Neurospora crassa OR74A: one gene and its partners. The protein of the gene in region 7 binds, or shares a complex with, the protein of the main gene of each other region. Links are inferred from orthologs where the notes say so. Each region holds a gene or a part of one and is shown on either strand. Other genes may lie near its edges.

Region 1 (4,004 bases), on a different chromosome or scaffold from region 7:
CATCTTGGTCGTAGTCGTTGATGGGCTAGCAGTAGGATGGTGTCGTGTCGGTATAATGGACTATAATCGGTGGACCAGATAGCTCTCGTTATAGCTTGACAGATACGATCCCTCAAAGCCTCTGTCGGCCTTCGTATTCAAGGCTCGCCTCTGCGTCGCTGAGCGTCTGCGCGGTGTTCGGTGGTCAAACTGGGTCCTTGATGGCTTGGAATCGCACGCATCTGGTACTTGAAGAAGGAAGTGGAATTGTCGTCGACGGTCTTCTCGATATGCATTGAGGGTGGAAAGGCTCGATGAGATGTGGTTTTTACTGTCAAGAAGGAGAGAGAGAAAGAGAAAAAAAACAGAAAAGAGAAAAAAGAAGAGAGTTGTGACTGGGGGAGCGTGCGAAGAGAGAGGTCGACAATGGCAACAATGAAATGGAGTTCCGTGGGCAGCAGAAGTTAAAATAAAATGGAGCCCGGACTCTGCACCTGCAGTGAATTAGGATGGGCCTGGACCGGGTTTGTGACCTTGGGTATTACCTATGCACAATTTAGTACCCCTAGGGACTGGAATGCACTAGCCGGGCAGGGGGCCGCGTCCGCCTCACCCAAATATCCCGCCATTGAGCCAACCACGATAAAGAGAAAAGCGTTCACATCATGCGTCACGGTCTGGGCAGGCCGGGCAGGCCGGGCAGGCGAGCAACTGAAAGGGCGGAAAGACCAGCTGGATTGGTCTGGTGAACTTAAAGGAAAAGGAGGAATTGGCGGGCGTTCCATGTCCCAGGAGGAATTGGCGAGAGCACGTGAAAATCGGGTGAGAGACATCAGACATACGTCTCACCCGCATTAAAGGGAATGCACCATCGGCCATTTTCCAGGCTTTTTCCACACTAGCTTTCAACCTGAAAAAAGCCCCATGTTGCTCTCCATGTCCAGAAATGAACCTCCAATACCACACGGCAGGTGTCATGTGTGTATAGGTAGTGTAGTGTACCAAGGCCGCTGGATGCCGACCCCGATCTTCAGTTTTGACAAGTCTGGGGAATCCGAACAGCCGGGGCTCGATTGGCGGTCATTAAACCGCATTGATCGACGGGCTGGGAAGGGGGAACTGGCCGCACCGTTTGTGATCGCGCTTCCATGTCACCTCGGACCAAACCTACCGTGTGCGAAGTGGGTATTAACGAATGTTGACACCAACAAGGAATCTATCACATATCACATGAAACTTTGAAATTTCAAGTACCTCTTTGAATGATCGGTGAAAGCTTCATGGCGATTCGTTGGTTCACCTTAAGACGAGGTGCCCGTGGTGCTAGGACCGAGATGAGCGCATTCAGGTGGGACAGCTTGTTGAGGGTTAGGGTCGAAGATGCGCCGGAAATTTTAGTGGAGCTCCCGCAACAGCAACGGCGCCAGCATTGTAAACTTCCCTGTGATTGCATCACCTGCTATTTCACGACAGCAAGCAAAACATCGAGCCCTCACATCAAACGGTCCTTTAGCAACCACAAGCCGGACTCGAATCACCTGGCTTTACTCGCGTTCAAGTGTCCAGAAGATTTAGCAAACGAACAAACACCGAAAGTTTAGCACTATGCATCCGGCGCGTAGAGCCTACGTGGAGGAGGCCGAGCCTGAGGTAAGACCATGCTCTATATGCGCCCCTCGCATCATTGAAGGCACCTGCTCAACATTGCAAACAGAGCCCGGACTGACCCCCCCTGAAGCAGGATCGCGGAGGCATGGATCTAGACTCCGTCCGTAAGTCCCCAAAACTCTTGTATGGCTTCCAACCCATGACTGATTTGCGTGTTAGCCCTCGATCGCGACTACGACATCCCCGGTGCTGGGGCTGGTATTGCCCCAGAGAAGGCCTCCGTTCTTCTATCGCAGTTTGAACGAAAACGATTAGCGGCTTCGATTGCTGTTCCTACCGACGATGGCCGGGTACGAGCCAAATTGCGAGAGATGGGCGAGCCTGTCACCCTCTTCGGCGAGGGTCCGGCAGACAGACGCGACAGATTACGAGAACTCATGACACAACAAGCCGAAAAGGGAGGTCAGGAAAGTGCCGATGTGGAGATGCGGGACGCCGAAAACGAGGAAGATGAAGCCGGCGACCAAGAGGAGGAATTTTACACTACTGGAAGCCCGGAACTGCTCCAGGCCCGCATCGACATCGCTCACTACTCAATCCCGAGAGCTAAGAAGCGCATCGAGTTCCAGAAGAAGGAGTCCACCATCCCACTGCGGACACATGTCAAACACCGAAAAGAGATCAAGGAGAAGCTTCAAGGGTTTGAATTGCAAGGCAGTCAAACGGCAGGAGAGCGGCACATCAGCATGACAAGGATCTCGCCTGATGGAAACATGGTCGCAACTGGCAATTGGGGCGGACAGGTCAAACTCATCGAAATCCCAACCCTTGAGCCAAGGAAGACTTTGAGGGGCCACACCAACAAAGTCAGCGGCCTATGCTGGATGCCTGGAGCTACACTGCCGGAGCGCAATGTTTCTCCCGACACAGTCAATCTCGCTTCCGGAGGAGCGGAAGGCCAGATTCATCTCTGGTCTTTGAACCAAGACACGCCTTTGAGAACTCTCTCAGGACACTCGCAACGAGTATGTCGTGTAGAGTTCCATCCATCGGGCAAGTATCTGGCTTCTGCCTCAGAAGACACGTCATGGAGGATGTGGGATGTTGAAACCGGCACCGAGCTCCTTCTCCAGGAAGGTCACTCTCGCGGTGTATACGCTGTCAGTTATAACAGTGACGGATCGCTACTCGCTAGCGCGGGTTTGGACAGTATCGGAAGAATCTGGGATCTGCGGACAGGACGGACTGCCATGATTCTAGATGGGCATCAGGACGGCCATATCAAGCCTATTTATGGTTTGGACTGGGGCTCGGACGGTTACAGGGTGCTCACGGCGTCTGCTGATGGTTGGATCAAATGCTGGGACGTTAGAAAAGTGGAAAGAATTGGAGGCATTGGTGCCCATACAAGTGCAGTGGCCGACGTGCGGTGGTTCAAGGGGTTGGATGACCCGTTGGAAGGAGTGCCTCCTGGCGAAGATGAAAAGGGAATGCAAATTCCCAAAAAATCCGGCACCTTTATGGTGTCGGCAGGCTTTGACCACAAGGTGAACATATTTTCCGCTGACGACTGGGCCTTGGTTCAGTCTCTCAGCGGCCACACAGGGCCTGTTGCGAGTGTTGACGTTAGCCGGGATGGAAAATGGATTGTAAGCGGTGGCCATGACCGGACGGTCAAACTTTGGGGAAGAAACGACTCCAGGAGCTTGTATGATTCCTGAGCAGACATCAATCATGTGCGCGACAAGAATCTTGTCGTTGCCTCTCGCATAGGAGCAACACACCAAGGAGGGCGTTCAGCAAGCGACAGGCCAGGGCTTGGCTTACCGCTCCACGAGAGACAGTATCGGCAGATAGATTGCATAGAAGCCGTCTCAATTTGTAGATCAACAACCACAACTGGGTGCCCATAACAAGCTGCCTTTGGTACATGCGTCTGAGTTGCCTTGTGGTTGCGTTTCACTGACCCGGTAAGGATAAGGGGTGTCACCTGACCGCGAAAGTGGGCCTGTTGAGATTCCTTCTCCCTTCTTTTCTGCAGTGACGCGGGCAGGGTTGGGCGGGACACCTGCCGCTCGCGTTGGTTGGCGTTGGTAAAGTCACCCTGGCACCCTGGGAAATGGTGACGCACGGTCCATCGTGCGAAGCTTGGCTTTCTGATAAAGGGCGATAAAACAATGGCAGCAGACGCCATCACCGGGAACTTGTAGCGTTGGTCCGTTTTCGAACCTTTGACTTCTTCGTTTCTCGCATTTCTGCATTTTCAAGTGGTTTTATCCCCAGCCGGTATTTATCGCGAGAGACGTCATTCACAATACCCTCAACTCACAGCATCCGGGCAGCTCAAGTCCCCATGCGCATCAACCCGCTCAAAGCTGTCTGAAGGGCGACACGGGGAGGATTCGCTTATTTGGGAA
Region 2 (3,755 bases), on a different chromosome or scaffold from region 7:
TGAGACTCAACGTGATGCGTTTTCGGTCGTCGTTGTCGGAGTGGTCACTATCGTCGAGTGCGATGAAATCGTGTTCCTTGGCAAGGCGCGCGCGCCGCTCTTTGCGCTCGCGGATCTCGGCTTCGGTGAGGACATGGGCTGCTGGGGCATCGCCAGTGAGCGCTAGGGGCATGTCGCGGGATTGAACAATCATGGCGCCGTCAAGCTCAGAGGGGTCGAGGTCCATGGCGTCGCCCGTTGTCCCGGGCGCGGCAGATGCCTCCGGCAACGGTGCGCTGTGGGTTTTGAGGCTGTCGTCGTCATCGTCGTCGATGATGCTTAGCGAGGCGAGATTCTGTGGTGTGGCTGGCGTGGAGCTTTGGAGTTCTTCAAGGTATTCTTTGCTGTACCGAGGCTTCTCTTCGTCGGCGCCAAATGTGCCGAATCGTGCGGTCAGGGCGGACTTGCGAAGCGCGTTCTTCTCGGCAACTCGTTGGCTCAGCGACTTTTTGCTTGGGGCGCTGACCACGTCGCTGCTGGCAGTTGTTGTCGTATCATTGCCGCCATCTTCCGTGTCGCCCTCGCTGGCTCCGAATGATAGTTTTGAGATGCGCTTCTTCTTGCTGGAGACTGAGCGGCCGAAACCGGGCCGTACTACGAGCGGCACACCAGTGTCCTCCTCGGCTTCTGTTACCTCGGGTGCCGTACTTGTGCTGGTTGACGTAGGTTGGATTGCGTCGCCGCTGGTTTCTTGTGGATTATCGTTACCGTCGTTGATCTTGATCGTTCTTCGTAGTGACGAAGATTTAGTAGGCTTGCTGCGCCCAAACTTGGTCGGTCCTTGCGGTACTGGTTCTGTTCGAAGGCGTATCAGCTTGCTTGTTCTTTGGTTTGGTATCAGCACTGAGATTTTCTATGCTGGAAAGGGATGGGCATGGCCATATAGCAACTTACGTTCGTTCTTCGGCTCCTCTCCTCCAAGCACCGTAGGAAGGTCGCCATCCTCATCGTCAAAGGTCTGGATAATGCGTGGCTTGCGCTTTCCAAAAGAGCTCATTTTTGTGATGATCGACTTGAGTAAAGTGTAGAATGGAAGTAGGTTGTCTGACAGGGAGTTTGTAATACAGTGATGTAGTATTGAGGCGGGCGTGTTGTTTACAGGTAAGTTTGTAGTGCAAAAAGGTGTCCAGACAGCTAGGAAGCTTCGAAATGCACCCTGGAGAATGACGCTGGTGGGCGACTGGATGTCACCACTGCACTGAACACTGCAATCACCCAAAGACGGGCAACGCGAATTGCGGTTTCTTATCTTATCAGTGTCCCCACGTGATGGCCTGGCGGCCGAAAATCACTGGGGATGGTCGCGATTGCACGCGCTGCACAAGGCCCGCCTTCCAGGTTGTTTCAGTGGAGAGTTCCCAGCCAGAACGACGCCATTGCCATTCATTGCAGCAACTCTCTCGAGACCATCCCAGACAACCAACACAACCTCAAGATACAATGGCGCCCGCACAACCTGAACTGAAGAAGGTAAGAACTTACTCTTGGAGAATTGCCTTTCACGCTGAATGGCAGCTGGCTGGTCGAGACTATGCCATTGTCGCATCTCGAACTCCATGTTATTGTTTGTTTAGTATGGTGTAGTGAGCTAACCGACCACTTTCCAACCAGTACCTCGACAAGAGGCTCTTCGTCCAACTCAACGGCAGCCGCAAGGTCATTGGTGTTCTCCGTGGCTACGATGTACGAGATCTCCCCTTTACGAATTCGAACATGATGATTGACGGTTCGCGACGTCATAGGTCTTCTTGAACATTGTTTTGGACGATGCTGTTGAGGAGAAGGATGGTGGTGAGAAGGTCAAGCTTGGCATGGTGGTATGTTTATCATTGTAGAAAGGTGCTGACGTGTCTCCTGCTGACGAATGTGCACACAGACCATTCGTGGTAACTCCGTTGTGATGATGGAGGCTCTCGAGAGAATCGGCGGCGATGAGAGGGGAGGACAGCGCGGCTAATCAACAATCATCTTCTCGCAACACGATAAAACGACCCTGCGCATCTACAAACGCCTACATCAAAAGGCGAGGCATCGGAATAAGCGGATGGCAATTGACGGGATTTGACTATATACCAAGGCGATTTACACTTTACGACGACATCTACAGTGTTCCACGCGGTCTTGGACGGTGAAAAGCTAGGTGGGTTGGCTGGTACGGCGTTCAGTTTCACACGAGGCATGTATTCGGGAAAGCTGCATTATCTTCAACTTAGAAAGGGAAACATCTGCGGCGGTGGTCGAAGAAAAGATACCCAAAGGATTTTTTTGTTTTTCATCACGTACAGCTCTTCTCCGACAACAGCTGCTTCCACGTCTTCTCGTCATAACCGTCCACCATGCGGTCGCCGTACATCCGCACCCAGCCTCGAATCCCGCCCGTCATGACCTGCGACTGAAGATCGCCGCCTACTTCGTTGATATAGTCTTGCATCCAGGCGGCACATCGAGGGCCCCGACCAGCGGAGGAGCCTGGGGGAAGAAGCATCGGTGTTAGAGAGGGTCGGCGGTAGAGGTACGAGTTCAAAAGAGCATAGGATTGATTGGACTCTGTCCCAAGAGTCAATGACAGAGAAAGTCAAACACGTACCACAATAGAAGACCACCTTTTGGATCCCGGCCTGTTTGCACAAAGCGTACAAGCTCTTGCGCGTGGGGAAGAAGCTGTGGGCGGGCAGGTTGATTGATGAGCTGACAGTTCCCCCGGCGCAGTCTGTCCGGCGACAATCGACAAGCAGCAATCTGCGCGATTGGGGCATGTCATCGACATGTTCTTGCTGCTCAAGAAGCTCGAGGACAGTCTGGGGCTCGATATGGACCGGCGTCGAAGTTGGCTCTGGAAATGCTGCCCACCACGGTGTACCATCCTCGCGCCTAGCCATGCGCAAGCAGTGTTCGTGAACGTGTATCGTCATGTTGAGGCCGTTGCTGAGTTGGTTTCTCATTGACTGATTTCTTAGGTTAAGCGGAAGAAATGTACCGTTGATGCATTGTCCGGTATATGAAGGGCAGTCAGGGGTAAACTCTTTGTTTGCCACACTGGATTGGGGCGGCTCTGAGATCTAGTCACATCTTTCAGCAAGCCACGCCGCCAATACTCATCTCGCGGGACATGTCCTCGGCAGTCACGTCCTATCATAAATCACTTGTCTCGTACGATCGGATCCTCTGATGCCGTAGATGGGATACCGCATCCGGAGGTAGTCCTTCCTATCCTATTACTCCATGGAGTTTTTCAGGAGATCGCGGCTAAGGGGGGACGACAAGATGATTTCTTCACCAGCTCATCAACGCGACATACTGCCTGGTCTCGTCGCTTCTATGCAATTTAGTAACCATGAGCATGTTATTTTTCTTATTACCCATATTCATGCCCCTCGCCATTTACCCGTAGATAACTGATAGCTCCGACATCTTGGTTTACTCGGCCCGGCATATAGGGGGATATCACATAACGAATTGTTGAGGTGTGTAAGTTGCAGCACCAGGACACCTGCGACAAAGCGCACCAATCAATATACATGTCGTTGTATGGAAGATTGATAAAAGGTTAAACCACGGCGTTTATAAGGTATACAGTAGCAAGACGCTCCCTCCAACAGCCCAGCGACACCTGAGAGCTATTCTGATTTATACGTCACGGCGTAACTTCCACCAAAGAATGCCCACATCTCCCAAATCAGTCTGTGCTCGCTTCGTTGTTCCATTCATTCATCATA
Region 3 (3,755 bases), on a different chromosome or scaffold from region 7:
CCACTCGGAACTGAGATGTCATGTAGCGTCCAGCGCTAGAAGTTGGCAGACACCTCCTGGAGAGTGGTGAGACGTCCAATCAGGGCAAAGACGAGGACATGATGGTGGGAGGTGGGATGCAACCGGAGCTGCCGTCGAGCTTGTCAAAGCTTGCTAGTACCGCACCATCACCACACGATCCAGCTCACACAGCGAGATAACAAAGAAGGTGGAGAGAAAAGACCGAGAACTCGGAGCAACCAAGACGGAGGAGCAGACGCACACAGATCATGGTCTCTCGATGCACATGCATGCAGCCTATAACAGCCAGTGCTATGGAAGATCAGTCCACGCCAAACCCACCTGCCGCAGCTCGAGGTTGAGACGGTTAGTTGCCTCGCCCATTCAGCGGTGCCGGGGCGGTTCGTGGGGTTTGATCATAGGGTTTGGGCATCAAGCTGACAACACAGCAATTGGCCGGCGGCCCACTTGGCCAGCCCGTCACTGCGTTTTGAAAATGGGACAAGGCCAGATGGCCCCTTACTCGCTGGACTACGTAGCCGTGCAAGCCGTGGTCGTGGCCGACAGGGAGCGAGGATGGAGGCATGTATGTAGTAGCATGATGCAGAAGGACCCGGGTACGGCATCTCTCGGGGCGCGAGGAAGTCTGGAGAACGTCGAGGGGCGTTTTCTGTCCTGTATCACGTCCCGTCCTTGGCTGATAGGCAATGGCTAGACGAGGCCGTCGAGAATGTGGGAGTTGCTCGTCAACGGTTGGCTGGTGGTATGGGGCAAAGCGGGAGGGGAGTGACTGTCCAATATTCGGGGACAAGGGTGAATTGAGAACCGAAGGACCTCACATAATTCAGCGTATAGAACATCGAAGAAGGCCTCATTGAGAAAAAGGTTGGGGATGCTGTGTTCAATGCGTTGGACAATCCCATCCCCGTGACGGCCGCCATCATGCGACGACTCGGAACATGAGCCAGGAAAGTTGAGCGATAACGGCGTTCGGGGTGCTGAACCAGACAGTTCATACTTTGATTGAGTACAAGCGTATGACAGCAGGCCGGTAAATTCCACTTACTGCCAATGGGTTGAAGAAAGAAGGTTTATGTCAGTGACGATGACGAGGTTTTGGATGACCGAAGACCACCAGTTCACTGAATGTGGGGACAGCGCAGAAGAGGCGTGTGGGGAAGCCTCCACACTTCCTTGTAGTGTAGGACCTCAATGCGCGGTACGTACCGTGAGATCTGGCAGCTGTCTTGCAGCTGACAAGATCAACTAAGCTCTCCGACGAAATTCCCAGCAGCACCGGGCTGACAGGGCTGCCGCGTTCACGTCAAAGGCAACTGATCGCATCCACTATCATCGCGAACCAAGTCGCCTGTACTTACGGCATACCATCTAGGTAATCTCTAAAACCAACACCAAGAAAGATCAGTTCGCCCCTCCACATCGCCAACCAACCTCACCACGTAATAACACAGCCGCCAACATGACTTCCACAATTGGTATCCCCATCAAGCTCCTCAATGAGGCTCAGGTAAGTAAACACCATTGCTATGCACAGACTGTAGTGCTGCCAAAAGCTAACCAACCACTCCTGTCCCACAGGGCCATATCGTCACTCTCGAGATCACCTCCGGCCAGACCTACCGTGGCAAGCTTATCGAAGGTACTGCTAACCCCCATGAACTCTTCATTCCCATTCACTCCTCTAAACTGGCCAGCCATGCTAACCAATGCGCTCCCCCGCAAAACAGCCGAGGACAACATGAACGTCCAACTCAAGGACATCACCGTCACAGCCCGCGACGGGCGCGTCAGCCATCTCGAACAAGTCTACATCCGCGGCAGTCATGTGCGATTCTTTATTGTGCCGGATATGTTGAGGTACGTTCAAACCAGGCCACCACCAACTCATCCGTTGCGATTCTTCTCCCCAGTTGCCCCCTACCTACCCAATAAGTCGGATAGGACCCAAGCTAATCATTTCCTCCTCCTCTTTTTTTTGTGTTCCCATACAGAAACGCCCCCATGTTCCGCTCCCGCAACGTCCGCGGCCGCGGTGTCGGTCTCGCCCGCGGTCGTGCGACAGTCAGTAGGGCGCGCGCCGGTGGTCGTGGCGGCGCCAGATAGAAGACAGCGAGCGCCGCCTGTCGTCAGACTCATCGACCAAGACCAGACCCAGACCGAGAATCATTGAAAATTTCACAACGGAATGCAATATTGGGGCACAATAATCGGCATATTATGGCTCCTTTTTTTTTTCCGCGCGCAACGACAACCGCTATTTTGATATTTTAGGCGTTTTGGGTGGGGGGAACCAATAAAGCAAACTTTGATCTTCTTTCTACCGAAAATGGGGGGCAGCGAGTTGGATGGAAAGAGAAAAGTGTGGGGGGCAAGCTTTGGATGCCCAGAGAAGGAGGAACAGGAGGGATAGGGAGGAGGGTGGCTCAAGGCCGGCCAGAGATGAGAAGGGACTGGAGTGAGTGCTGGGGCTGGGATTGGAGGGTTGAGAGCCTCGATGAGGAGTGATATGGAGGACGCCAGCTGGCCCCGCTCATCCATCTGCTGCCAAATGATGATCATGGGAGAAGCGTGGCGTATCCAGGGGTTTTCACGCTCCGCCAGCTGGACGATAATGGTCGGTCGATGCAACAGCCGCTACCCGTCCGTCAGCACGCAACGAAAACCTGGCTTCATCACGGTTAGCAGCCAGAGCGAACCAGGTGTTCAGCCAGCCTCAGGTCTCCCCCCAGTTGAGTCCTTGGCCAAGGAGCGAGCACATACAGCATGGATCGAATCGCACCGAAAGCGAAACTCCTACTAGCCCTGGTTCTGATATAGACAGGGTACGTATTCAACGTCTTTGTCTATTATGTTGTTGTACACACAACCCATTCCATCTTCAGCCTACGCTGACAGTTTTTGATATCTACCACAAAAGTCCGATGCCCCCTTTTTACTCCCACTTCGGCTTGCTTTTTTAATGGTACATAAGAGTGTAGCCCTGGTTGATCTGTTGCGTCCGCCGGTTCTAACCCGCCTGTCCCTATATGTGAGGCTCGCATAAGACGAGCTTGCAACAATGCTCTGAGTGAGAGTGAATCGTGTAGACTAAATATACAACTGGCTGTTTAAGGGTTGAGTTGGAGAGGGCATATTGTCAAAACACCCACCTAAGGGACTAACAGGCAGGGCGAGAGGGCTGTGGAAAATAATAAGCACAAGAAGTCCGAAACTGACCAAGTTCGGTTTGCAGAATGTCCTTCTAAACATCTGTTGCAACCCATCATTTCTACTTCAGCCTCGCAAGCGCTTCCTCGGCCCGCTTGAGGACACTCTTGGCCTCCTTCAGCTCCTCAATCTCAACCGCCACATCCTCGGGAACTTCAGGAGAAACGCTATCCAGCACCTCGGCAATGCTGGCTTCGGTTGCGCGAATAGCCTTGCGTCCTTCCTCACGAACCTCGCCCTCCCAGAAATCTCTCGCCCTCTCCCACCTTTTCTGCAAGCCCCTCAAACTCAAAACAATACCCAAGGCGGCGACGGCTCCACACTCATATATTCCGAATCCAGAGAGCCAGGACATGCCGCCGAGTGCCGTGGTGGCTCCCGCTAATGTTGATGACTGTAGCACGAGCTTCTGCGCCAGTGCTTGCAGGGCCGGAACAGTTTCCGCTAGTAGATAGTTTCTTGTGAAGGGGATATGCGCAGGCCAATTTCCCTTGGTCTCTGATTCCGTAGTAGCAGCAGTAGTAGCA
Region 4 (2,721 bases), on a different chromosome or scaffold from region 7:
ATCGTGAATGTCAGCGGTGCGCGACATACAAGCGTAGCGGTATCGTCGTGATCCAATGGGTATCTGTAAGTACCTTGCCCTTCAGTGTCGTTGCTGCGAAGAGTTGCGCCTCGGCTTCGGGAGAGCCCTGCAAGATCGATATTGTGGTAGTCCAGGCCTCGTTCTACGGTCGATTGAGAAATGCGGGTTAGTCACATGCGAACCATAGGTGTGTTGGCGTCGAAGGAGCTGAAAGCCCAACTGACCGACTTCTGAAACTTTTGCAGGTAGTCCATGGCGGCCTTCTTGGAACCGGAGTCACCACTCCGCATCGTCAGCATGGCCTGCAGGACATTTGGGGTGGTGAAGCCGTCTGTGGCGCCGTTGGAAGCCATGTTGGGCAGCTTCGGATTGTGTATGATGTGATTTAGCTCGAATACAAGTGTTGTGATGGCAAGTGTTGCGATGCGGTGTTGCAAGTGGAAGCTATCGCTGGGGTATCGCAGGTCGCAAAGTGGATGGATCAGCCCCTCCTATTCGACAGGAGTGTTGTCCGACTTATCGGTCTTGCGACGCGATGGAAGCTTTCAGGATATGTTGTTGTAAAGGCGAGGAGCTGCGATGCGCACGGGGTATATGAAGCTCCAGAGAGGTTGCAAGAATAAAGGACTGGGAGGTATTGTACGGTGCCGCCGTGGTGACAGGATTGCTGCAAGTTGGAGGTTGCCGGCGACGATTTGCTCTTGAGCGTCCAAAGAAACGACGATTGAAAAACATCCCGCCAACAATCGAAGAACGTCAGGCTGCCTGACACCGACCGACCGCGAGTGGAGTAAACGGCGGCGGGCAAGCGGGTCAAAGAAAGTGGAAGCACATCCTGCACCGCCATAAGTGGGACAAGCGGGAGGGGCTCATGCTACCCCAAACTGAAGATTCTGTGGCTTGAGAACCCAAGCAGCTCGGAAAAAGTGAATTGAGCTGAATGCCAAGAGGTTATGACACGACGCTGTGGGCCCAGCAGCATGTAACTAAGTGCACAGACCAGCTGAGCAGCTCCCGTCCCGTCCCCGGCGGGAGGTGCTTGTGAAAACAAGAGCTCCACACGCCAGAGACAGACAGGCAGGCAATTCGACATTCGGGGGAAATTCATTGAAGTCACGTCCCGGCCGTAGAGAGAACGCGTCTGGGAACAACTGCAAGCCAAGCCCAGCCGACCAACAACGACCATCCACAACTTGATTGCGACTTACTTGTTCAGCCTCCACATCACCATCAAACTTCTGTCCTAAACACCGGCCAAACGACCAAACCACAACAAACTTTTATTCTCAACATGACCGGCAGAGGTGGTGGCGGCAACCGCCGTGTTCTTCTTCCTCCCATCAACTTCCTCTTCCGTCTTTTGCAACAACACTCGACCGTCCAAATCTGGCTGTACGAGCAGCTTCACATTCGCATCATCGGCACCATTCGTGTAGGATTCTCCATCGTGACCTCCCCGAAGAGCAAACATAGGTGCTGACAATTCCGTCTTACAGGGCTTCGACGAGTTCATGAACCTGGTGGTGAGTAGCGGCGCATGTCCCACTAGCACTACGAGACCTAACCCCATTTCCACAGATCGACAATGCGATTGAGGTCAAGCTGGTCTCCAAGACAAACGAGACGGAGGAGAGGAGGGAGCTTGGGGTAAGAATATGTTTAGGGCTGGACGTCGATGTTGTTGTGGCAGTGGAAAGGGTGGCTAACTGGGTCGCAGCAAATCCTCCTGAAGGGCGACAATGTCTCGCTCATCCAGAGCTACTCCGGGTGAAGAGCTCCAAACCTGAAGGAGAAGCGGTAATCGACGATGCAATTTACGCTGGGACCTACATCGAGCGACGAGCCAGCAGATCTAAAGCTGTACATAGACGGCCCACAAAGATGTGGTGCGTGGCCTTCTACACAACAAACGACACCGAATCTACGAAAGAGATACCAGGGAAAAGCGATTGGCCGAGGCGCACAGGAATGTCGACTATATGTATTTGATCAAAGGAAGGCAGTACGGGATGGATATCAGGTCATGGAACTATTTGGGTGCAGGAGGGCTCTTAATCTCGCCATTTCCGAGTATCAGGCCGTCCAGAGGTTGATCGTGGCGACCAACAGGTACCGACCCCTCGGATGGAGAGGATAGAAACTGCTCAGACAGCGCTAAGCCATAAAGCAATACAGGGGTTTCCTGCTTCCCCAGCTCGACAGACTTTTGGTTGTGCCGGTTGATGAAGTAGTCGTAGAAGCCTTTGCCGTGTCCGAGCCGTCTGATGGCCCCAGCTTCCGGGTCAATGTCGAAGGCCACGCCGGGCATGAGGATCAAGTCAAGCAGGGTTTGGTCGGAGTGGTGGGCGTCGGGACCTCCAAACACCCTCTGCCGCTCATGGACCGTGGCCGGGTCGATGCTGGGAATGCCCCATCTGTCTGGCTTGAGGGACTCATAGTCGTGAAGATCTCTGAGGCGGACCATGTCCATGACGCGGGCTGGGAGGTTGGGCGAGGCCAGAGGGTTCTTGTGAAGATACGGGATGAAAACCTCCTTGCCGGACTCTAGAGCGTGCCTGACGATGCCATCGGTCTGGATCTCGCCCGTGGGCATGGACAGGAACACGCTGACCCGTTTGGCGTCTACGTAGGGCTTGAAGTTCCTCAGAGTGTTGAAGACCACAGAACCTGCAATTGCGGATTTAGTCTGCGCTGGCAGTA
Region 5 (3,118 bases), on a different chromosome or scaffold from region 7:
TGACGTTGGCCATATCGGAGCGTTCCCATTCGAGGAGACGGGGCGCGATCTTGCGGATCATGGAGCCATTGAGGGCGTTGTACTTGGCTGGGCGGTTGAGCTCGACGGAGCGGAGATTATATAGACTGTTGAAGAGGACATCCTCGGGCTCGTCACCCTCGACGGGCTTGAACAACTCGGCGGCGGCTTGGGTCGAGATCTGGGAGGAGGGGGCGGCGAGCGTGTTAGCTGTGTCCGTGTCCATGGCTTTTGTCTTCCCAAGGAGCGTCTTACTGGGGCCTGCTGGCCCAGGACTTTGGCTCTGAGCGGCATCGCGGTGAAGCTTGGTCGGCAGCTGCGAGAAGCAACAGCAGAAGCCAAGCCGGCGCGGCTGGCAATGGACTTGGAGACCAACATCGATGTACACTTCGGTAATTGGCTGGCTGGCTGGCTTTGTCTAGAATAGGAATGGAATAACAAGACCCAGGGTCAATATGGAAGAAAAATACTAAGTCCAAAATCCACCCCGAGGCTGTTTAGCACCGTTGTTGCATCATAGACCGGCCAAGGGACTCGGGCACTTTTTTTCGGGACTCGTTTTCCTGGGCTGGGAAAGGGAAAACGGGAGAACAATCACCAATGATCTGAATGCCGCGTGGATGCAGGAACCGTGATAAGTGATAGCGAGAGTATCTGCAAATCCACTTTTTGCTGGAATTCAACGCGAAATGGAGCTCCAGCTTCAATTGATTTTCAAGGGCACCGCGCCTGGCAATCCCCGGGGCGGGGTTAGGTACGGGGGAGCTAATACATAGTGTAGAGGTAGCTGTGGAACCTGCCGAATCCCCGCCGCTATCGCTAGAAGCTGGAATATCCTCCGGCCGATGATACCTCTATCCATTCAAACTTGTCATTTTCCAGAAGCGACGCTCGGGCCCTCCGCTCACTGGAAACCCGATGTCCCGGCTGTCCGGGGGAGCATGTCGGGTTCGGCGGGGCTGGCAGCACCTGTCACCGGAGCGGTCCTCAGCCTTTCGCATTGGGATCCACCGTGAGCTTGTCATCCAATCGCCAAACTTTGAAGACGGTTCTGTTCCCAGAAAAGCTTGGCGCGTGTGCTGTAGCTGCTCCACGCTCCGAGTCGCCGCCGCGCCTGGCCCTCCGCTGCTGCAACATTTCCCGTCGTGGATTGAAGATAGCGATAGCATCCATTACAGCAACTATTGTCCAGGCTTCTACCGTACACCACCAACCCATACCACGCGAAGCAACCACTCGACGTCAACAACCATTTTTGATACAAAGACAAAACTACAACTCATTTGCCCCTCCTACATTTCAGTACCACTCCAATTCAACTCTAGACCAAAACACCATCGTCATGGCTTCAGCGGATGCAAAGATTCAGTCAGTAGCTATCCCACTCTCCAGCATCAACCCATGTGCGCGGGCAGCCCATGGACGCTTCAAGGAAACCAACTTGACTAACAACTGTCTACTATACAGGGAGCTTCTCACGAAGCCGCGCAATGAGCTTACGTACGTTATATCCTCTTGTCAACATCACCTCCCTCTGTTACCATCGTCATCTCGCCCGCCCTGCTGCTCCCAGCTCCTCCTCTTTGCGACCCAAGACCACGACGCCCGCCCAGCCAAATCACAAAGCTAACCAACTCGTCTGATACAGTGAATACGAAGTTTCTCTCCTCGAAGAGCACGAGTTCTCCGCCGGTCCTCTGGTACATATGCCCCATAAGCCTTGATCTACCACCCCTTCGACACGGAGCAGCGACTAATATGACACCCTTTTTGGCAGTCCATCCTCCAGACCGCCGTCCGCAGCCACTCCCAAGTCCTCATTTCCGTCCGCAATGGGCGCAAGATCCTTGCGCGCGTCAAGGCTTTCGATCGCCACATGAACATGGTGCTGGAGAACGTCAAGGAGATGTGGACCGAGACGCCCCGACTGGCCAATGGCAAGAAGGGCAAGCCCGTAAACAAGGACAGGTTTATCAGCAAGATGTTTGTGCACTTCCTTTTCATCTGTTGTTTCTCTCGCCCAGGAGAAGCGAAGATCAATGGCTGACATGTTTCACTTTCCTGGCAGGTTCCTGAGAGGCGACTCCGTCATCCTTGTCCTCCTCAGCTAGTTCACGAATAGCACGGCAAAATGTATAGGTTGGAGGTTTATTTCACTTGCACGGCGAAGACACGCGCCAGCACAACTTAGGGTTAATGGCTCGAATGGAGTGGGGATGAGCCCGGGAAGGGTACCTATTGTTGGTCGACTGAATCGAGAGACATGCGGACTATATCACCTTACTACTACTCAACCGCTCGATCGACCATGATGACGACACAACCACGAAAGCAATTCAAAACGCCCCGTGAAAAGGCGCCGCGCAGGAACGAGAGGAAAGAAGAGAAACCCAAGCAGATTTTCAGGGGCTATTAGGAAGGTCATACAAAGGGAAAACTAGTGTGAGCTCGGCGTTCAAACGTGTATTTGGTTTTGTTTAACTTTTTATCTTTCATTTCTGGTAACTTGATCGAACAGAATACCCAGACCGTGTTTAGGTTTTCGCAGACGCGGTCATGTTTTCTCGTGCTTTTTAACGACAAGCAACGGGATGATTTGTATTGGTGTTCCTGGTACGTCATTGAAATGGTGGTGCAAACTAACTACCTAGGGGTATATCGAGATCACATACAGCACCAATTCTTACGGCAATTCCGCCTCTCTTGTAACCTCCTCCCATCCATCATCCGATCCCTTGGCCTGCTTAGCACTGGAATCATCAGCCTTTTCAATTCCAGCCAGTCCAAGGAAGAACTTGGCCAATCCCCAAGCGCCCGGATCCGGCACCTGCTCGAATCCGGACCCGCCAATGTAGACGGTGCGGCCCAACTTGGCCTTCATACCCTTGGTGCCCTCAGCTCCCTGCTTGGCAGCCTCGGCCGCCTTCTTCACATCACCGGTCTTTTCGAGCGCATCGACAAAGGGATAGAGGGCATCAACCAGGGTGCGGTCACCGGGACGAGCGGGCGTGTACTTGGACAGGGCCTCACAGCTCAGTTTGAGGGCTGCGGCCCAGGCATTTTCATCAGCAGCTTTCTTGTCCGACTCCCCTCCACCGAC
Region 6 (3,559 bases), on a different chromosome or scaffold from region 7:
CTAGCCAACGCCCACCCGCGCGCCGTCCTCACCGACCTGATCGACCGCTACCTGGACCCGCGCGAATCCGCCCTGGCGACCGTCGACGCCCGCCTCCGCTTCGGCGAGGCCCTACTCCAAGTCGTCGACCGACTGGGCCAGACCTTCACCGGCGACCTAGCCAAGATGACATGCGAAGCCCTGATCAGCCTGGCATCGCGCCGGGGGCATCGGCCCAAGACCATGGCGCGCCAAGCGCGCGAGGCTAAGGCGCGGGAACAGAAGCATAAAGAAGCCGAAGACGCGTGGGACGGCAGCGTGCCGGATATGGCGGATCCGATTTCTGCTGAGGAGCAGGCTAGGCTTGATATCTTGGAGGCGATTGTAGAAGGGTGGTCGTCTGGTACTTCCAAAACGGGTGAAGAGGATGTAAGGATCCGTGCCTCTGCGTTGTCAATTCTGGCGAATTGCATCGAGACGAATATTGTTGGTGTCGCGGCGGTGTTGACGATGGCGAGCGTGGATCTGTGCATTAATGTTGTGCAGGTAGAGCGGCAGCTGGAGAAGGGGATACTCAGGAGGGCGGCGGTGAGGCTGATTATGAGCTTTATCAAGGCCATGGACGAGGCGAAGCACGAGGGGAGGGTGTTGGGGATTGCGTTTGGGAGTGAGACGCAGGAGCAGCTGAGGACGATTTTGGGGTATGTGGAGCAGACGGACGAGGATGGGTTGGTCAGGGAGTATTGTCGGGATGTGCTGGAGAGCTTGGAGAATTGGAAGACGAATAGCTTGGTGGATGAAGTGTCGTTGAGCCAGGCAAGAGGAGGAGGGTTCGGTGGTGGTGGGTTAACGAAGCTGGCTGGGTTGGTTGTCGACCCGGAGAGGTCGGTTTCCCATGGTGGTGATGATAGTGGTGGAAGTAGTGGCGGTGTTGAGATGTTCGGCGGTAGACCTAGGATTGAGGAGATTGAGTAAAATATCTTCACCCAGTATGGGACTTTATTAATTCAAAATGACTTCCTGTCAGGTCCTGAACAGTCCCCTTCCATTTCGTTTCAAAACATCGGCGTCTTCGAGGGTCTTGACCTGAAGGTGTAAGTGGGCATCGGAAATAATCAGGGAGAGATGTCACCAGGTAAACTTGAGTGAAGAAGTGAAAGAATACACTAAGCTATGTACCTGAGTAATGATAAGCAAAAGGATCGCCATAAAGGTCTTGGTGATGCTCATCATCGTCGCTGTCAACAACATCAAGTATCCTCTAGCCACCAACCCTAACCCTGTAATCTACTAATCAGACAGGCTTATTGCCACGTCCAATCAGCTATCGCGTTAGGGCTCCACATGTCCCTCGTAACAGAGGAACTTCCATCGTCGCGCTACTCCAACGCCGCAAAGGTCCAGCATTGGAGGCACAGTCCCAGTTGGAGCTTCTTCCATCATAGCATCAACGCCAATCCCATCTCTCTTCCCAACTTTTCATAACCATAACCTCGACCTTGTTGCGTCCACCCGACCACAACCCACTCTTACACATCTAAGAAAACCGACAAATACAAAATTCCATTAGCACCAAGCCGAATCGCGAATCCAACTTTCGAGCCGTCCCATCGACGACAACAACAACAACAACAACAGCAAGCCTGTGAATACACACACAAGGCGCCACGCACTTGACCAAGAACCAACCCTTCGAACCGAAACCGACAACATGTCTTTTGTCCCAGTTAACCCCCGTCCCTTCCTTCAAGATCTCGTCAACAGCTTTGTGACGATCCGCTTGAAGTGGGGAGAGACGGAGTATGTTGGCCGTCTTGTTGTACGTATATATATACATATCCAGCATCTTTCTTCCAATCTAGCCTTCCCTTTGCCGCTGGACTTTGGTCTTGGCATACACAGCTGTGGGAAGCGATGGGGAGGGGAGGGGAGGGGGAAACCAGCAGGCAGGACCAAGGAGCAACGAAGGAAGAACAAAGAGAGAGAGGCTGACGAAATGCGTGTGTGCATGTGAACAACAGAGCATCGATAGCTACATGAACATTCAGCTCAGCGACACAAAGGAGTACATCAACCGCAAGTTTACGGGCGCCTTGGGGCAGGTTCTGATCAGGTACGTCCATACTGAATACATCCCACTGCTACGGCTTTCCATACGGACGACCCAATCCCCCATCTCGTATCAACTAGCCGGGATGCTGACATTATGGACTTCAACAATAGGTGTAACAACGTTCTCTACATCAAGAAGGCCGACGAGGCGGAAACAAGTGGCGACGTCAAGATGGAAGAGTGAAAGTTCTCTCGCCACCAGGAGGAGGAAATGAAAGGGTAGCCTAGACTAGCGGGCAGGGTGGTGAAGGGCGCGATTTGCAGAACAGACAGGAGGAATGTGTGAGGAGGGAGGGTCGTGATGTTCCGACTATAATACCCTGGGAGGAAAAAAGAAGAAGAAGAAGAGATGGATCTACTCTACCGACCAAACCAAACCGAGCCGAACCGAAGCACAAACCACAACGCACCCGCTCGCCGAAAACTCGTTTCCCAATGATGAAAGTGTGCGCTTCACGAAAGGTGCGACAACAGCTTTGATGATATCGGGCGCGCATGGTGTGGAGAGTGGTACGGAAGGGCGGATTTGCTTCAAGAGAGAGTGAACGGTGGATGGATGGATGGATGGGTACCGAGCGTCTCTCTGTCTGGTAGAGACCTTCGTTGCATCTCCTGCGCAAGACCGTCAAAGGAGCATGTGCCATCTGGCCTTTCCTTGAAGATAAAGGCTAAAATAAGATGTTGGAACAATACTCAGCTTAACAGGAAAGAAAGAAACAAAAATCTGTCAAGACCACACATCATCTAGGTACTGAGCAAAGAAAAGGAAGTGGCGGGTTGAGTTAGACATGCGGACATGGCGTCTGGTTTCCAGGTATTATTTCAACTGAAAGAAAAAGAGAACGAGCGGCGTGAATTTCTGTTAGTCTCAACTTCCACTTGCCTATACATCACACGACTACAGGCAAAGACAGTCACCATCATCATACACATCGCGCGCCTTCCCAATTATGAACATTCTATCCACCATTTGACTTCGAATCTTTTATTCTTTCGCTAAAACAAGACTTTTGACCTTTTCCTCGCAGCGTTTGTTACAGCTGCATACTTACACACTCCTAACACCCGACCTAGCCAGCCTTGCCCACCACCTACTGGTACCTAGTTACCTCCGTTTTTACATTTCCTCTCTTCTAACCAAAAATGCAGGCAACCTTACGACTGCTATGCATCTCAGAAGCGCCAACCTTGATACGGGTCTTGGGACCCACCCAAGCATACACTTCAACCATCCACTCGTACCACACCCTGGTGTCGTCGGTCTGGCGCCACATGCTGACTTCTAGCTCGGTGTCCTGAGGGAAGTAGAGGGGTTGCTATGTATCGTCGAAGAAACAGGGTCAGTAATCGTCACCAAAGCAGGAGCGAGGAGCGAAAAGTCAAGAAAAACAAGAAATGAAGGAAGAAGAGATAAAAACTCACCCTAAGAGGGAAGAAAATCGGGAACCAGGAAATCATGTCCTTGCTC
Region 7 (2,750 bases):
TTCTGAGGAGGCTGTTGCCATTTACACTACTACGGTGCACTGGCTTGAATCGAGAAAATTCTCTCCCATCCCCTTCCCCAGTGTGTCTTACAAGCATGACACCAAGATCCTTATCTTGGCGCTGGAGCGCCTACGTGAGGCTTACTCGACCAAGGGAAGATTGAACCAGAGTCAGCGTGAGGAGTTGGCCTTGATTGAGCAGGCATATGACAGTCCAGGCACTACCCTCGAGCGTATCAAACGCTTCCTACTCACTCAAAGAGCTTTCAAGGAAGTCGGCATCGATATGAACGACAACTACAGCACCATCAACCCGGTCTATGATATTGAACCGATCGAGAAGATTAGCGATGCTTATCTCGACCAGTACTTGTGGTATCAAGCTGACCAGCGCCATCTGTTCCCCGCTTGGATTAAGCCTTCCGATTCGGAGGTGCCACCTTTGCTTGTGTACAAGTGGGCTCAAGGCATTAACAACCTCGACAGGGTTTGGGAGACCGCGAATGGCGAGTGCAATGTCATGATCGAGACGCAGCTCTCCAAGGTCTACGAGAAGATTGAGCTGACCTTGCTCAACTCGCTTCTTCGGTTGATAATGGACCACAACCTTGCGGACTACATCACGGCCAAGAATAACGTTACCCTAACTTACAAGGACATGAACCATGTCAACAGCTATGGTATGATTCGTGGCCTGCAGTTCTCAGCCTTCGTTTTCCAGTACTATGGTCTCATTCTCGATTTGCTGTTGCTTGGCCCGCAGCGTGCCAGCGAGATTGCCGGTCCTCCCCACGCACCCAATGACTTCCTTCAGTTCAAGGACCGGGAGACTGAAACAAGACACCCGATTAGGTTGTACACCAGGTACATCGACAAGATCTGGGTGTTCTTGAGGTTCACCGCGGATGAATCTCGCGACCTGATCCAGCGATTCTTGACAGAGCAGCCTGATCCCAACTTCGAGAACGTGATTGGTTACAAGAGCAAGAAGTGCTGGCCCAGAGATTCGCGTATGCGTCTCATGAGGCACGACGTCAACCTCGGCAGAGCTGTGTTCTGGGATCTCAAGAACCGCCTCCCAAGATCCGTGACGACGATTGAATGGGAAGACACCTTCGCCAGCGTGTACAGCAGGGATAACCCGAACCTCCTGTTCTCCATGTGCGGCTTCGAAGTGCGCATCTTGCCCAAGATCCGCAACCAGAACGATGAGTTCCCTGTGAAAGACAGTGTCTGGTCACTAGTGGACAACACGACCAAGGAACGCACCGCTCACGCTTTCCTACAAGTTACCGAAGAGGACATTCAGAAATTCAATAACAGGATCCGTCAGATTCTCATGTCGTCTGGCTCGACCACATTCACCAAGATTGCTAACAAGTGGAACACGGCGCTGATTGCCCTCTTTACTTACTACCGCGAGGCTGCTGTTTCGACCGTGAACCTGCTTGACACGATTGTCAAGTGTGAAACCAAAATCCAGACTCGTGTCAAAATTGGTCTCAACTCCAAGATGCCTTCCCGTTTCCCTCCTGCCGTTTTCTACACTCCCAAGGAGCTTGGTGGCTTGGGTATGATTTCCGGATCACACATCCTTATCCCTACTAGCGACAAGCGCTGGTCTAAACAGACAGATCTCGGAGTTACTCATTACCGTGCGGGCATGTCGCACGATGAGGAAACGCTGATCCCCAACATCTTCCGCTACATCATCCCGTGGGAAGCTGAGTTTATCGACTCCCAGCGTGTGTGGACGGAATACTCGCAGAAGCGTCTCGAGGCCAACCAGCAGAACCGCAGATTGACCCTAGAGGATCTGGAGGACAGCTGGGATCGCGGTCTGCCCCGTATAAACACTCTTTTTCAAAAGGACCGTAGCACGTTAAGCTTCGACAAGGGTTTCCGTGCCCGTTCCGAGTTCAAGATCTATCAGTTGATGAAGAGCAATCCCTTCTGGTGGACAAGCCAGAGGCATGACGGTAAACTTTGGAACCTTAACGCATACCGTACCGATGTCATCCAGGCGCTTGGTGGTGTCGAAACCATCTTGGAGCATACCTTGTTCAAGGCAACTGGTTTCCCGTCTTGGGAAGGTCTCTTCTGGGAGAAGGCCAGTGGTTTCGAGGAGTCGATGAAGTTCAAGAAGTTGACAAATGCCCAGAGGAGCGGTAAGTTCAACATACCATTTCTCTAGCATGAATTCATCATCATATGCACGCACAAATACTGACTTTGAAATACGCAGGTCTCAACCAGATTCCTAATCGTCGTTTCACGCTTTGGTGGTCGCCTACCATCAACAGAGCCAATGTCTACGTCGGTTTCCAAGTGCAGTTGGATCTAACTGGTATCTTCTTGCACGGCAAGATTCCTACTCTCAAGATCTCCCTGATCCAGATCTTCCGAGCTCATCTGTGGCAGAAGATCCACGAGTCAGTGGTCATGGATCTTTGCCAGGTCTTCGATCAGGAGCTTGAGGCTCTAAGCATCGAATCGGTTCAAAAGGAAACCATTCATCCCAGAAAATCTTACAAGATGAACAGCTCCTGCGCGGATATCCAGCTCTTTGCCAGCCACAAATGGAACGTTACTCGCCCATCGCTCCTTTTCGATACCAAGGATGTCATCGAGTCTACTACGACGAACAAGTTTTGGATTGATGTTCAGCTTCGCTATGGTGACTACGACTCTCACGATATTGAGAGATACGTCAGGGCCAAGTATCTGGACTACACCACCGACAGCATGAG

Evidence for each region.
Region 1: NCU07832 (region 7) and NCU11251 share a complex: the UniProt entries of both Saccharomyces cerevisiae proteins name them as parts of the U4/U6-U5 tri-snRNP complex. The link is inferred for Neurospora crassa OR74A from reciprocal best matches to the Saccharomyces cerevisiae genes PRP8 and PRP4.
Region 2: NCU07832 (region 7) and NCU09880 share a complex: the UniProt entries of both Saccharomyces cerevisiae proteins name them as parts of the U4/U6-U5 tri-snRNP complex. The link is inferred for Neurospora crassa OR74A from reciprocal best matches to the Saccharomyces cerevisiae genes PRP8 and SMX2.
Region 3: NCU07832 (region 7) and NCU03625 share a complex: the UniProt entries of both Saccharomyces cerevisiae proteins name them as parts of the U4/U6-U5 tri-snRNP complex. The link is inferred for Neurospora crassa OR74A from reciprocal best matches to the Saccharomyces cerevisiae genes PRP8 and SMD3.
Region 4: NCU07832 (region 7) and NCU06354 share a complex: the UniProt entries of both Saccharomyces cerevisiae proteins name them as parts of the U4/U6-U5 tri-snRNP complex. The link is inferred for Neurospora crassa OR74A from reciprocal best matches to the Saccharomyces cerevisiae genes PRP8 and SME1.
Region 5: NCU07832 (region 7) and NCU03778 share a complex: the UniProt entries of both Saccharomyces cerevisiae proteins name them as parts of the U4/U6-U5 tri-snRNP complex. The link is inferred for Neurospora crassa OR74A from reciprocal best matches to the Saccharomyces cerevisiae genes PRP8 and SMD2.
Region 6: NCU07832 (region 7) and NCU01614 share a complex: the UniProt entries of both Saccharomyces cerevisiae proteins name them as parts of the U4/U6-U5 tri-snRNP complex. The link is inferred for Neurospora crassa OR74A from reciprocal best matches to the Saccharomyces cerevisiae genes PRP8 and SMX3.

Annotation. Positions count from the first base shown.
Region 1 is NC_026501.1:4,871,908-4,875,911, reverse strand, and holds NCU11251 (pre-mRNA splicing factor), read left to right. Parts: upstream 1-1,427; 5' UTR 1,428-1,584; coding exon 1,585-1,629; intron 1,630-1,693; exon of another isoform or gene 1,694-1,717; coding exon 1,718-1,751; intron 1,752-1,806; coding exon 1,807-3,308; 3' UTR 3,309-3,504; downstream 3,505-4,004. Other genes in the region: stk-11 (serine/threonine-protein kinase psk1, variant), read right to left, coding at 1-3. UniProt on the Saccharomyces cerevisiae protein: Involved in RNA splicing. Is required for the association of U4/U6 snRNP with U5 snRNP in an early step of spliceosome assembly.
Region 2 is NC_026501.1:6,357,876-6,361,630, reverse strand, and holds NCU09880 (small nuclear ribonucleoprotein SmG), read left to right. Parts: upstream 1-1,365; 5' UTR 1,366-1,479; coding exon 1,480-1,509; intron 1,510-1,650; coding exon 1,651-1,722; intron 1,723-1,781; coding exon 1,782-1,856; intron 1,857-1,915; coding exon 1,916-1,996; 3' UTR 1,997-2,314; coding exon of another isoform or gene 2,315-2,508; 3' UTR 2,509-2,626; coding exon of another isoform or gene 2,627-2,951; 3' UTR 2,952-3,255; downstream 3,256-3,755. Other genes in the region: NCU09879 (hypothetical protein), read right to left, coding at 1-834, 934-1,036; NCU10125 (hypothetical protein), read right to left, coding at 2,315-2,508, 2,627-2,951; NCU09881 (hypothetical protein), read right to left, coding at 3,744-3,755. UniProt on the Saccharomyces cerevisiae protein: Plays a role in pre-mRNA splicing as a core component of the spliceosomal U1, U2, U4 and U5 small nuclear ribonucleoproteins (snRNPs), the building blocks of the spliceosome.
Region 3 is NC_026505.1:1,887,150-1,890,904, reverse strand, and holds NCU03625 (small nuclear ribonucleoprotein Sm D3), read left to right. Parts: upstream 1-1,296; 5' UTR 1,297-1,480; coding exon 1,481-1,528; intron 1,529-1,599; coding exon 1,600-1,660; intron 1,661-1,748; coding exon 1,749-1,878; intron 1,879-2,012; coding exon 2,013-2,124; 3' UTR 2,125-3,255; downstream 3,256-3,755. Other genes in the region: NCU03624 (hypothetical protein), read right to left, coding at 3,290-3,755. UniProt on the Saccharomyces cerevisiae protein: Plays a role in pre-mRNA splicing as a core component of the spliceosomal U1, U2, U4 and U5 small nuclear ribonucleoproteins (snRNPs), the building blocks of the spliceosome. Also binds telomerase RNA and is required for its accumulation.
Region 4 is NC_026504.1:2,807,307-2,810,027, forward strand, and holds NCU06354 (small nuclear ribonucleoprotein E), read left to right. Parts: upstream 1-1,143; 5' UTR 1,144-1,312; coding exon 1,313-1,453; intron 1,454-1,517; coding exon 1,518-1,544; intron 1,545-1,599; coding exon 1,600-1,668; intron 1,669-1,738; coding exon 1,739-1,792; 3' UTR 1,793-2,050; downstream 2,051-2,721. Other genes in the region: NCU06355 (karyopherin), read right to left, coding at 74-163, 246-374; NCU06353 (hypothetical protein), read right to left, coding at 2,051-2,688. UniProt on the Saccharomyces cerevisiae protein: Involved in pre-mRNA splicing. Binds and is required for the stability of snRNA U1, U2, U4 and U5 which contain a highly conserved structural motif called the Sm binding site. Involved in cap modification.
Region 5 is NC_026505.1:2,382,785-2,385,902, forward strand, and holds NCU03778 (small nuclear ribonucleoprotein Sm D2), read left to right. Parts: upstream 1-1,148; 5' UTR 1,149-1,360; coding exon 1,361-1,386; intron 1,387-1,485; coding exon 1,486-1,518; intron 1,519-1,666; coding exon 1,667-1,718; intron 1,719-1,795; coding exon 1,796-2,001; intron 2,002-2,086; coding exon 2,087-2,129; 3' UTR 2,130-2,618; downstream 2,619-3,118. Other genes in the region: NCU03777 (mitochondrial 3-hydroxyisobutyryl-CoA hydrolase), read right to left, coding at 1-199, 274-396; dak-1 (dihydroxyacetone kinase 1), read right to left, coding at 2,702-3,118. UniProt on the Saccharomyces cerevisiae protein: Plays a role in pre-mRNA splicing as a core component of the spliceosomal U1, U2, U4 and U5 small nuclear ribonucleoproteins (snRNPs), the building blocks of the spliceosome.
Region 6 is NC_026502.1:2,951,593-2,955,151, forward strand, and holds NCU01614 (hypothetical protein), read left to right. Parts: upstream 1-1,379; 5' UTR 1,380-1,690; coding exon 1,691-1,798; intron 1,799-2,000; coding exon 2,001-2,092; intron 2,093-2,202; coding exon 2,203-2,275; 3' UTR 2,276-3,059; downstream 3,060-3,559. Other genes in the region: NCU01615 (hypothetical protein), read left to right, coding at 1-954; pp-2 (protein arginine N-methyltransferase HSL7), read right to left, coding at 3,225-3,407, 3,514-3,559. UniProt on the Saccharomyces cerevisiae protein: Plays a role in pre-mRNA splicing as a core component of the spliceosomal U1, U2, U4 and U5 small nuclear ribonucleoproteins (snRNPs), the building blocks of the spliceosome.
Region 7 is NC_026503.1:1,010,087-1,012,836, forward strand, and holds part of NCU07832 (pre-mRNA processing splicing factor 8), read left to right. Parts: coding exon 1-2,168; intron 2,169-2,245; coding exon 2,246-2,750. UniProt on the Saccharomyces cerevisiae protein: Functions as a scaffold that mediates the ordered assembly of spliceosomal proteins and snRNAs. Required for association of BRR2 with the spliceosomal U5 snRNP, and the subsequent assembly of the U4/U6-U5 tri-snRNP complex.